3 linked regions of the Oryctolagus cuniculus genome follow. The protein of the gene in region 1 purifies or fractionates together with the protein of each later gene. This does not show direct contact. Links are inferred from orthologs where the notes say so. Each region holds a gene or a part of one and is shown in the gene's direction. Other genes may lie near its edges.

Evidence for each region.
Region 2: the proteins of PTPN21 (region 1) and TRIP6 purify together in Homo sapiens (affinity purification with mass spectrometry; 3 studies listed by BioGRID and IntAct, with this or other methods). This does not show direct contact. The link is inferred for Oryctolagus cuniculus from reciprocal best matches to the Homo sapiens genes PTPN21 and TRIP6.
Region 3: the proteins of PTPN21 (region 1) and WWP1 purify together in Homo sapiens (affinity purification with mass spectrometry; 3 studies listed by BioGRID). This does not show direct contact. The link is inferred for Oryctolagus cuniculus from reciprocal best matches to the Homo sapiens genes PTPN21 and WWP1.

What each region holds. Positions count from the first base shown.
Region 1 is NC_091451.1:34,219,373-34,223,017, reverse strand, and holds part of PTPN21 (tyrosine-protein phosphatase non-receptor type 21), read left to right. Parts: intron 1-305; coding exon 306-527; intron 528-3,645.
Region 2 is NC_091450.1:43,008,861-43,013,133, forward strand, and holds the start of TRIP6 (thyroid receptor-interacting protein 6), read left to right. Parts: upstream 1-1,430; 5' UTR 1,431-1,747; coding exon 1,748-1,856; intron 1,857-2,084; coding exon 2,085-2,212; intron 2,213-2,318; coding exon 2,319-2,444; intron 2,445-2,596; coding exon 2,597-2,980; intron 2,981-3,160; coding exon 3,161-3,254; intron 3,255-3,341; coding exon 3,342-3,511; intron 3,512-4,211; coding exon 4,212-4,273. Other genes in the region: SLC12A9 (solute carrier family 12 member 9), read left to right, coding at 59-948. UniProt on the Homo sapiens protein: Relays signals from the cell surface to the nucleus to weaken adherens junction and promote actin cytoskeleton reorganization and cell invasiveness. Involved in lysophosphatidic acid-induced cell adhesion and migration.
Region 3 is NC_091437.1:111,703,521-111,707,165, forward strand, and holds part of WWP1 (NEDD4-like E3 ubiquitin-protein ligase WWP1), read left to right. Parts: intron 1-859; coding exon 860-1,190; intron 1,191-3,645. UniProt on the Homo sapiens protein: E3 ubiquitin-protein ligase which accepts ubiquitin from an E2 ubiquitin-conjugating enzyme in the form of a thioester and then directly transfers the ubiquitin to targeted substrates.

The sequences.
Region 1 (3,645 bases):
ATTTTTACTGTCCTCCAGAACTCTGTTTCATAGAGGTCACAAAACTGATGGTAGATTTACAGAAAACAAATTCAACAAATTGCTTTAGGCCAATTTTCAACTTTAAACAGAGTGCAGAATTATATTTCTCACCAAGATTATCTTTTGATCTTGTAACTCTTAAAATTTTAACTTTGGTTTCACCTAGGTTTTCAATATTAGATAATTCTGGACTTGAAGTGTAAAACGGGATTTCAGATGGACAATTAAAATGCAGCTGTGACATGTGACTGTATTCATTGTATCCCACACATTCTGTTTTACAGTGTAAAATCCTGGAACAACGGTTAGAACAGGGAATGGTATTCACAGAGTATGAAAGAATTCTTAAAAAACGACTAGTTGATGGAGAATGCTCCATAGCGCGGCTCCCTGAAAATGCAGAAAGAAACCGATTCCAAGACGTCCTTCCCTACGACGATGCCAGAGTAGAGCTGGTCCCGACTAAAGAAAACAATACTGGCTACATCAACGCATCGCATATTAAGGTGAGGGAAACGTCTAGGCTGATAAACGGCACATACAGTTTTGGGTTAAGGTACAAGAAGGTATCAAGTCTGTATTCTAAAAACACCCCAATTTTATTCTAAAAACACCCCAATTTTGAACCACCCTGATGTTAGGTGAAAAGTGTTTATCAGACAGAGTGAAAATCACATGTATTTTCTCCACACGGGAAACTGCTCTGTGCCCAATACTGTTAGAAGAGACGAGACATAGGAAGCTTCTATTAACTGGCTTCAGAATGTTATCCTAAACCTGAACGCTTCTCCTCACTCATAAATTTTCTCAGGAGCTACTGAAATGCTGTTTCTACCTCACCACATACTGCTGTGTATCTCTATATAACATGTCTGGGCTTTCTGATGGTGTTCACAAAAGCTTTTACTTACTAAGGTGCCATCTTTTCTCTCTGCAAGCTCCCCGTAGTCTTTCAAAAAAAAAAAAAGATTTTGAGAAGTAGAGTTGTATACTGAGAGAGGTAGAGACAGAGAGAGAAAAGGTATTTTATTTGCTGGCTCAGTACTCGGATGGCTGTGATGGCCGGAGCTGGGCTGATCTAGAACTAGGAGCCAGGAGCCTCCTCCAGGCCTCCCACGTGGGTGCAGGGGCCCAAGCATTTGGGCCGTCTTCCACTGCTTTCCCAGGTCATTAGCAGAGAGCTGGATAGGAAGAGGAGCAGCCGGACATGAACCAGTGCCCATGTGGGTTGCTGGTGCTGCAGGCAGAAGCTTAGCCTGCCATGTCACACCCCCAGCCCCCCCCCCCCCCCCGCCCCACATAGTCCTTTAAAATACCATTTTGCTCTTCAAAGAAGCACTTTTCCCCTGAAAAGAGTATGATGTCACTTAACTGAGGTAACATTGCATCCATCCACGTGGAAAAGCTGACACTTCATAGCAGGTGGCTGACTAAAGCCAGATAGCCCTTGGTTCATGCTGGCTAGATTCTTTATTTGGGGAAGGAGAAACGTCTGCATAGTGAGTGAATACGTAAGTATCTGGTCAGGTGTTTTTCTTAGATGTTTGATGACATCCGAGGCTTTCCGCAGACCATGCATTCCAGTGACCGCCTTACCCTGCGAACCTGCATGTAGTTTTCTGTTTTGTAAATTGGGCCAAATTTATTTTTAAACCAAGCATTGCTTTGGAATAACTCATTTAGCCTCTCATGACTGAATGGATAAGAACCGAGTAACACTGTGCTTACACAGTGGTGCTTCCAAGTCTGCAGAGACAACCTGGTATCTGTTCAGAAGTGGACAGATGCGGGCCTGACTCCCAGATGTACCGCTCACCAGCTGTGTCCTCATCTTACTAATCTCTAAATGAACAAGTGATGATCCCTACCCGGTAGGCTTCCCATTAGATGCCACCCCACTTCTCCCCCTGCCCCCGGCTTGTTTGCTGTTAAAACCTGTAGCCATCCACAGTGCCAGCCACTGAGTGGGTAGGTGGGTACTCAGGGGAGAGGATGTGGGGCCGTGCCTCAGGGACACTGGCATCCTTACATGAGGGTGTGGGTGGAACAGGGCTTTAGGCACAGCCCTGTAAACTTCGTAGGCAGTCAGAGAGTAGTTATTATGTTATTGGTGGAGTTGTGATTTAACACAGGTCTCCTGACTACATAGGCTGCAATTACACTGTTGTATTAGCTAGTACCAAGATGTTAAACCTTAAGTGGAGAATTTTAGTAATATTGTGGAGGCTTATCTTGACCCAGAATTTCAGAAGTGAGAGATTACATTAAGCAATTTTCCCTGGAAATCTGATGTTTCACTTGAGTTTTGACGTAATTCCCTATATTCTTTGCCACATGTTTAGTACTTCAAGAAGGGGAATTATGTTTGAAATTTGGAATATTATGATGTTGATATTATTTTTATTTTTATTTTTTTATTTTTTGACAGGCAGAGTGGACAGTGAGAGAGACAGAAAGAAAGGTCTTCCTTTGCCGTTGGTTCACCCTCCAATGGCCGCCGCAGCCGGCGTGCTGCGGCCGGAGCACCGCACTGATCTGATGGCAGGAGCCAGGAGCCAGGTGCTTTTCCTGGTCTCCCGTGGGGTGCAGGGCCCAAGCACCTGGGCCATCCTCCACTGCACTCCCGGGCCACAGCAGAGAGCTGGCCTGGAAGAGGGGCAACCAGGACAGAATCCGGCGCCCCAACCGGGACTAGAACCCAGTGTGCCAGCGCCGCAAGGCAGAGGATTAGCCTAGTGAGCCACGGCGCCAGCCAATATTATTTTTATAACAAAAGGAACCATAACAGCTACTTGTTGAATGCTTATCTTGTGACAGGCATAATATATACTAATTGACTCAGTCTTCACAACAACTCTAGGCAGGTAGGAAATATTATTTTTAAAATTTGTTATTTGAGAGACAGAGAGCAAGTAGAGCTCCCCATCTGCTAGTTCACTCCCTAAAGCCCACACACAGCAGCTGGGGCTGGGCCATGGTCTAGGCTGGCAAGCAAGAACTCAATCCAGTTCTCCCACAGAGGGCAGGAACCCAATTACTTGAACCATCGCTAATTCCCAGGGCCTGTATTAGCAGGAAGCTGGAGTCAGGGGGCCAGAGGCTAAGTGGGTATCAAGTCCAGGGAACTCCAATGTGGGATGTGTCTTAATCACTAGGTCAAATGCCTGCCCCAATATTTTTATTTTTATAGGTGAGAACTGAGATTGAGAGGTTAAGCATATGACCCCAGGTCATATAGATATTAATTCAATGTACATAAAAATGTTAGGGGGCTGGTGCTGGGGCGCAGTGGATCAATGCCCTGGCCTGAAGCACCGGCATCCCATATGGGTGCCGGTTCGAGTCCCAGCTGCTCCACTTCCGATCCAGCTCTCTGCTATGGCCTGGGAAAGCAGTAGAAGACGGCTCAAGTCCTTGGGCCCCTGCATCTGCGAGAGAAACCTGAAAGAAGCTCCTGGCTTCGGATCAGCACAGCTCTGGCCATTGTGGCCAACTGGGGAGTGAACCATTGGATGGAAGACCTCTCTCTCTCTCTCTCTCTCTGCGTAACTTTGACTTGCAAATAAATAAATCTTTTTAAAAAAACATTAATAGTAGAGATTGTACAGACAAGGGAAAAAATTA
Region 2 (4,273 bases), on another chromosome or scaffold:
GTGCGTCAGCGTGTGCGAGTGGGCGCGTGCCCTTCCTGCCTCCCCTGTCCGCCCCCAGGTGGCATGAAGCCCAACACGCTGGTCCTGGGCTTCTACGACGACGCTCCGCCGCAAGACCACTTCCTCACGGACCCTGCCTTCTCCGAGCCCGCGGCCGGCGCCCCCGAGGGCGGCTCCCCGGCCCTGAGCACCCTGTTCCCTCCGCCACGGGCTCCCGGGAGCCCCCGTGCGCTCAGCCCCCAGGACTACGTGGCCACCATGGCGGACGCCCTCAAAATGAACAAGAACGTGGTTCTGGCCCGGGCCTGCGGGGCGCTGCCCCCGGAGCGGCTGAGCGGCGGCTCCCGGGGCCCCTCGGCGCCCCACCACGTGGACGTGTGGCCCCTCAACCTGCTGCGGCCCCGGGGTGGGCCCGGCTACGTGGACGTCTGTGGCCTCTTCCTGCTGCAGATGGCAACCATCCTGGGCATGGTGCCCGCCTGGCACAGCGCGCGGCTCCGCATCTTCCTGTGCTTGGGGCCGGGCGAGGCGCCCGGGGCGGCCGAGGGGCGGCTCCGGGCCCTGCTGAGCCAACTGCGGATCCGGGCCGAGGTGCGCGAGGTGGTGTGGGGCGAGGGCGCCGGGCCCCGGGAGCAAGAGGAAGAGGAAGAAGGGGACTTCGTCAACGGCGGGCGGGGAGAGGCGGAGGCCGAGGCCCTGGCGAGCAGCGCCAACGCCCTGGTGCGGGCCCAGCAGGGGCGCGGCACAGGCGGGGGCCCCGGGGGCCCTGAGGCCAGGGATGGCCAGGAGGGGCCCACCACGGCCCTCACCTTCCTGTACCTGCCAAGGCCGCCTGCCGACCCCACCCGCTACCCCCGCTACCTGGCGCTGCTGGAGACCCTGAGCCGCGACTTGGGCCCCACGTTGCTCGTCCACGGCCTCACCCCTGTCACCTGCACTGACCTCTGAGGCCAGGCCCCAGCTCATCCGGATTCCTGGACGATGAAGAGGGAGGGGCCACCTCCCTCCGGCCCTGCCCTTGGGACCTGGAGCCCCCCCCGCCCCGACCCCCAGGTGCAGATGCTAGGTGTCCTGGGCTCGGGCTGACCCGCCTCCTATGGGAGGGGACCCAGGGCACGGGTACCCCCGCCCGCCCGCCTGCCCGCCTCTCCTCCACTGGTGCCTTGACGGGAGGGGCTGGTCTCCTCTGCGACCCTAGGCTACCTCAGCCTGGGGTGGGGACGTTCCCTGTGTTTTATTTTTCTAACTGCTGACCGTGAATAAAAGACCAAAACACTACGGGCTGGCCTGACACTGCTGGCGGGTAGGTGAGAGGGAGGTGGTGGGAAGAGGTCGGGTGGTAGCAGGGGTGGAGACCGGGAGCTTCCAGGGCCGCAGCGAGGCTGCCACGTGCAGGCTCGGGCGGGCCGGCCCGGGCCTGCGCCTCCCACCCCGAGCCGCCCGCAGACCCCCGTGACTCGGCTCCCAGCGAGAGCCCTCCCCTCTCGGCAGGAGGGGGCCGACTGGGGGAGGGACCGCAGATTAGGGCCTAGGGGGCCACGTGACCCTCCCCCAGGAATGCGGTGACGTCACAGGGGGCGTGGCCGTCCCCAAAATTAGGGAGGAAGGGGAAAAAAAAAAGCCAGAAAAAGTTTCTTTCCTGGAGTCCCAAACGAGGTGTAGGACGGAAGAGGGGGCCGAAGTCAGAGGCCCTGGGCTCCGAGAGGCCCTGCCTGCTGTCTGGGGTCTCCTCACCCCGTTCCAGACCATGTCGGGGCCCACCTGGCTCCCCCCAAAGCAGTCGGAGCCCACCAGAGCCCCTCAGGGGAGAGCACTCCCTCGAGGTGCCCCTGGGCTGCCACCCACCCACGGAACAGGTAAGCAGCCCCTTCTGCGCCCGCGAGCCACCGGCTGCCCAGACTCACCTCTGCCCGCTCCCAGCCTGCTCCCTGCTACCCCTTCCCCTGCCAGCCGGGGGCCAGCCGCCTGTGGCCGCCTACGGCCCCCTGAGGAGGAGCGGAGGGGCCGGGAGGGCAGCGTCCAGGAGGGAGCCCCCTTCTCTCCTCCCTGGTCCCCACCTCTGGTCTCTCTTCCCCCCACCCCAGCACTCCAGCCCCACCCCAGGGTCAATTTTTGCCCCCTCCCATCTGAGCAGTGTTACCAGCCCCCCGGGGGACGCGATGACCGGGGGCCAGCCTGGGTGGGGTCCCACGGAGCACCCCAGCGCTCCCAGGTGAGGACGGCAGTGGGAGGAGGTGCGATGTTGTGAGCAGGGTGGGGGGCTGGCTGGAGGGGCGCCGTGGTGACTTGCCTCCTCCCTGCTTTGGCTCCTTCCCCAGGGGCTCCCCCCAGACAGGGGGGGCCTGCGCCCCGGCAGTCTGGATGCTGAGATGGACTCGCTGACCAGCATGCTGGCCGAGCTGGATGGGGGCCGTGGACACGCTCCCCGCAGGCCGGAGCGGCAGGTGACTGCCCCCACGCCTGGCCTGCTGCCCTCTGTGGGTCTTCAGTGCCAGTCCCCCCCTCCCCAGGGCCCCCAGCTCCCCTCTGTGTTCATCAGCCACTGGCGGGGAGACCTGGGTGGGCTTTGCTCACTGCTCCCCGTGTTTCTCCCTAGGCTTACGAGGCCCCTCAGCCCCCTGCTTACCGCGCAGGCTGCCTGAAGCCCAACGGAGGGGGTGCCCCAGCCCCTCCGCCACCAGCATCCCCCTATGGGGGCCCCACACCGGCCTCCTACGCTACCGCCAGCACCCCAGCCGGCCCGGCCTTCCCGGTGCAAGTGAAGGTGGCACAACCAGTGAGAGGCTGCGGCCCGCCCCGGCGGGGAGCCTCGCAGGCCTCTGGACCCCTTCCCGGCCCCCACTTTCCTCTTCCAGGCCGAGGGGACATCTGGGGGGGTGGCTATCGGAGCCACCGTGGGCCTGGGCCGGGGGGGAAAGAGGAGACTGTCGGGGTGTCTGGCTCTGCAGGAGGACCCAGAGGAGGCGGGCACGGGCCGCAGGTGAGCCAGGGGTCCTGGAGTTCAGGACCTTCCTAGATGATGGGTGGGTGGGAGCAGAGCCGCAGGCCTGGGGCGTGGAGCAGCTGGGGAATTGCAGAGGGGAGGGGTCCGAGAAGCTCTCAGGGGAGGAGCCTCCTGGGTTGGACCCCCTGGGTGGGAACCCCTGATTCCCGCCCCCAGGTCCCCCTGAGCCAGCCTCCGGAGGAGGAGCTGGAGAGACTGACCAAGAAGCTAGTGCAGGACCTGAACCACCCGCCCAGCGGGGAGTACTTTGGTGAGCGGGTGCCGCGGGCAGGGGACGGGAGGGTGGCGCGTCTGGCCAGGGTCTGTGCGGGGTGACCCCGTCCTTTCCTGTCCCCAGGCCGATGTGGCGGCTGTGGAGAAGACGTGGTCGGGGATGGCGCCGGGGTCGTGGCCCTGGACCGTGTCTTCCACGTGGGCTGCTTTGTGTGTTCCACGTGCCGGGCGCAGCTCCGGGGCCAGCATTTCTATGCCGTGGAGAGGAGGGCGTACTGTGAGAGCTGCTACGTGGTGAGCCCCTGGGGCTGGGGACACTGGGGTCTGGGCACTGGCAGCGGCAGGCAGGGGCCTTCCTGCAAGGTGGGGGCCGGATGTCTGAGCCCAGCAAAGGAACAGGGCTCGAAGCTGGGGCACTCAGACTGATGGACAAGAAGAGAGGCATTGTGGGAAGGAAGGAGCACCGTCCTGTAGGAGTAGGAGACATTTTATCTATCATCACCATTATTATTATTAATTGATTTGTAAGGCGGAGAGAGAGCCCAGCTTCATCTGCTGGTTCACTCTCCAGTTGCCTGTGACAGTTGGGGCTGGGCTGCACCAAAGCCAGGAGCCTGGAACTCAATCCAGGTCTCTCCCGTGGGTGGAAGGGACCCAAGTCCTTGAGCCATCATCTGCTGCCTCCCAGCATGGCCACGGGCAGGATGCTGGCGGGCAGTGGAGCCAGGACTCCACCCCAGTCACTCTGATCCGGGTTGTGGGCGTCCCAGGTGGCCTCCTAAGGGAACAGGGTTAAATTCCAACCCCAGCCAGGCAGGAGTTTTACTACCGGTGCCCGGTTTACAGGACACTGACGCTCAGAAAAGCCGAAGCCAGACTCGGATCTACGCAGGTCCACCTCTCACTCACACGCAGGGCGCTGTAGAAACAGCCAGGCGGGCTGTGGGGGCGCCCGTTGGGTTGTTTAGCTCCCGGCTCCCCGTCCTTCCAACAGGCCACCCTGGAGAAATGTTCCACGTGCTCCCAACCTATCCTGGACCGGATCCTGCGGGCGAT
Region 3 (3,645 bases), on another chromosome or scaffold:
AGGTGGGTAGGTCTTCCATCTGCTGGTTTACTCCCCAGATGGCTGCAATGGTCAGAGCTGTGCCGATCTGAAGCCAGGAGCCAGGAGCTTCTTCCTGGAAGAAGCAGGAGCCCAAAGACTTGAGCCATCTTCTACTGCTTTCTCATGCCATAGCAGAGAACTGGATCAGAAGTAGGGCAGCCAGGACTCAAGCCGGCACCCATAAGGGATGCCAGCACTGCAGGCCGCAGCTTTACCCACTACCCCACAGCTCTGGCCCCTTGATGGTACTTTTCTAATAGGTTTTGTTCAATGATCTCTTCTTGCAATTTTATTTTTACTTACTTTCATAGTAACACATAGTTGAAGTCAATTAATCTCATTGAAATATGAAGTAAGAAAACTATATCACTAGGTCTTAGTGCTAAATTATTTCTTTAGAAAGTATAGAATGGATTCCTGAATCTTTTTATGGTTCTCTATAGTACTATCATAATTAAAGCCATCATATATTTTTCATTATTGGCAAAAGTGTTGGTACTAGCTTACCACTTGCATATGAGACAGAAGATTGTAAGGGATCATTTTACAGTTTTTATATAGTGCATGCAGGCTTTCTCTCAGAACTGATCATTTGGAGGGAAAGCACTTGTTATTGTAATGGTGGTTTCTCTTTCCTTAAGGTATAGTATGTAAACGTAAAATTTTATCATTTATATATTACATGTGAACAATGAAAATATAACCTTGATCTTATGTTTTCATTACCTGGTACGTACGTTGTTCAGTTTGGATTAGACTCTGAATAAATGTATTGATTGATTAGGAAATTGGTTGCCTTGCTATTACTTGACAGATTATCTTAACTTTCCCTTCTCAGTTAATGGAGAATCATCCTCATCTGCGCCAACTGACCATGCTTCTGCCATTGGCACTCCAGTAGTACCTGAAGAAACCACCTTGTCTTCAGACTGCACTAGCACTACTGTTGAAGACCCTCTCGTTCAAGAGATACCCACTTCCTCAGAAAACAATGAATGTATACCTTCTACCAGTGCACAGTTGGGATCTGAAGCTAGAAGCATACTAGATGCTGATCATTCTAATTCTGCAAGTAGTTCTGCTTTTGACAAATTAAGGCAGCCAGAGGGGTGTGCGGAATCTGTACGGCAACAGTCTGGAAATGCCAACACAGAAACTTTGCCATCAGGGTATGTTAAGGATGTTTTTGGTTGTTTGACTTGCCTTTATGTAGCAACTTTTTGACAATATATAACTATTGAATATGTATGTAAAATGTTTTCATTGTTGAGAAACTTGAAGTCTGGCTTTTAATTTGATTTGCAGTATTAGTTTATTAGCTACAAGGCACATACTTTTTGAAACTATGGATTGTTGCTCGTCTAGTTGAACTGTGACTAGTATGAAGGGGAAAAAACCTGATTTTGATTTGCAAGATTCTATCAGTTTGATTTTAGGTTTACTTTGGTAAGGGTGAGTGTGACATCTCATATAATAATGTCAATTTTCTAGCTTCCTTTATGGTCTACTCTCCAGACCTCACACTTGAGAATAAGTAGCTGTCATCTTCCTCAGTATTATAGTACTGAATCCTTGAGAAAGTCACATATCCTTGCCGACTAGGTCTATTAACAAACTTAATTTTTCTTTGCTGTCTGGTAATCTTATAGACTGTTCATGGGGCCGGTGCTGTGGCATAGCAGGTAAAGCCTGCAGTGCCAGCATCCCATATGGGCACAGGTTCGAGTCCTGGCTGCTCCACTTCCGAGGCAGCTCTCTGCTAAGTCCTGGGAAAGCAGTGGAGGATGGCCCAAGTCTTTGGGCCGCTGTTCCTGCATGGGAGACCCAGAGGAAGCTCCTGGCTCCTGGCTTTGGATCAGCACAGTTCCAGCCATTGAGGCCATCTGGGGAGTGAACCAGCAGAAGGAAGACCTCTCTCTCTCTTCTCTCTCTCTGTGTCTGTGTATGTGTGCGTGTGTAACTCTTTCAAATAAGTAAATAAATCTTTTTTTAAAAAGTTGATTGATTTTTTTTTTAAGATTTTTTTTTTTTATTTGAAAGAGTTACACAGAGAGGGAAGGAAAGGCAGAGAGAGAGGTCTTCCATCCACTGGTTCACTCCCCAGGTGGCCCCAACAGCTGGAATCAGGTGCTATAAAAAAAAGAATGCTAAAAGAACTGGAAAATCTTTTGAAATTTAATACAGTACAAAACTTGGCTGGTAGAAGCAAATAATTTGCTAGAAAGTAGAGCAAAATGATAAAATTATAAAGTAGAAGTGATGTAAAAAGCTGAGAGACCAGTTCTGAACATTTAATAAGAAAATTTCTAGGGGTTAGCATTGTGGTATAGTGGATAAAGCTGCTGCCTATGACTCTGGCATCCCATGTAGGCACTGGTTGATGTCCTGGGTGCTCTACTTCTGAGGGCAGCTCCATGGTAGTACACCTGGAAAACTCTAAATAGAGAATGACTGAAGTATTTGGACCCCTTGCCATCCATTGTGGGAGACCTGGAAAAAGTTCTTGGCTCCTGGTTCTGACTTCAGCCTGGCCCTACTCTGGCTGTTGCAGCCATTTGAGGAGTGAACAAGTGGATGAAGATTCTCTCTTTCTCTCTCTCTCTCTCTCTCTCTCTCTCTCTCTCTCTCTCATCTATCTTTCTGTCTCTTTTTGTGCTTCTTTTTCTGTAACTCTACTTTTCAAATAAATAAAATCTTTTTTAAAATAAAGGCAAAAAATTGTTCACAAACATAAGGAATTTTATTGAAAGGCTCACCAAAATTCTAGGTACTAAGTGAAAATAGACTTATTTTTAAGAAAATTTATTTTGAAAATATTAGTATATTCTGACCAAAGAAAAAGTCTTTAAAATTCTAGAGACTAAAAGAAAAAAGAAAGTAGGCTTCACTCTAATCAGACTGGCATCAGACTTGTCAGAATCAACAGTAGAAACTAGAATACAGTGGGCCAGTGCCTTCAATGCTGAGGGAAAATGTATCCAGCCTAAAGTTTACCTAGCCATGCTGTTGAATGTGTGCATAGAAAAAATACATTTTCATACATCCTGGATTTCCAAAAATTCACTTACCATGTCATCTTTCTTAGGAAGGGATTCCTGTTACTTCAAAAATAGACAGTCAAATGGAAGATGTGGGATCAAGAACACACAGGATTGCTAGGAGAGGCAAGAAAGGAATTGGAGCATGATGGGAAAGGCAAGTCCCAGACAGCGATAGGCTTCACACCCAGTCTAGACTGGACGATGATCAGAAGGCAGGTGTAGTTGGATGGACATCCTAAAGAGCTTGAGCATTTCAAAAGGACATTTTTATGATGGAAAAGTATTTCTGGTTAAGTTAATGACAGATATGTAAAAAAAATAAGCAGAGGGGTGAGAGACACAATTGCTCTAGCTCAGGGTTTTTAATTTTTTTTTTTTTAGAAGTCATGTCCCAAGACTCAATTGTCAGGAAGGTTTATATAGAGACAGCAACAACTATAAGGAAAGATACAACATGTGTATATTTGGAACAGCTGGAATGAGGGTGTTTTATTAGAGTATGTAAACGTGCAGGAACAAGACTTGCAGCTCCATCTTTCATAGTGAGAAGTCAGTGCAACATATTTGAAATTAAATAATCATG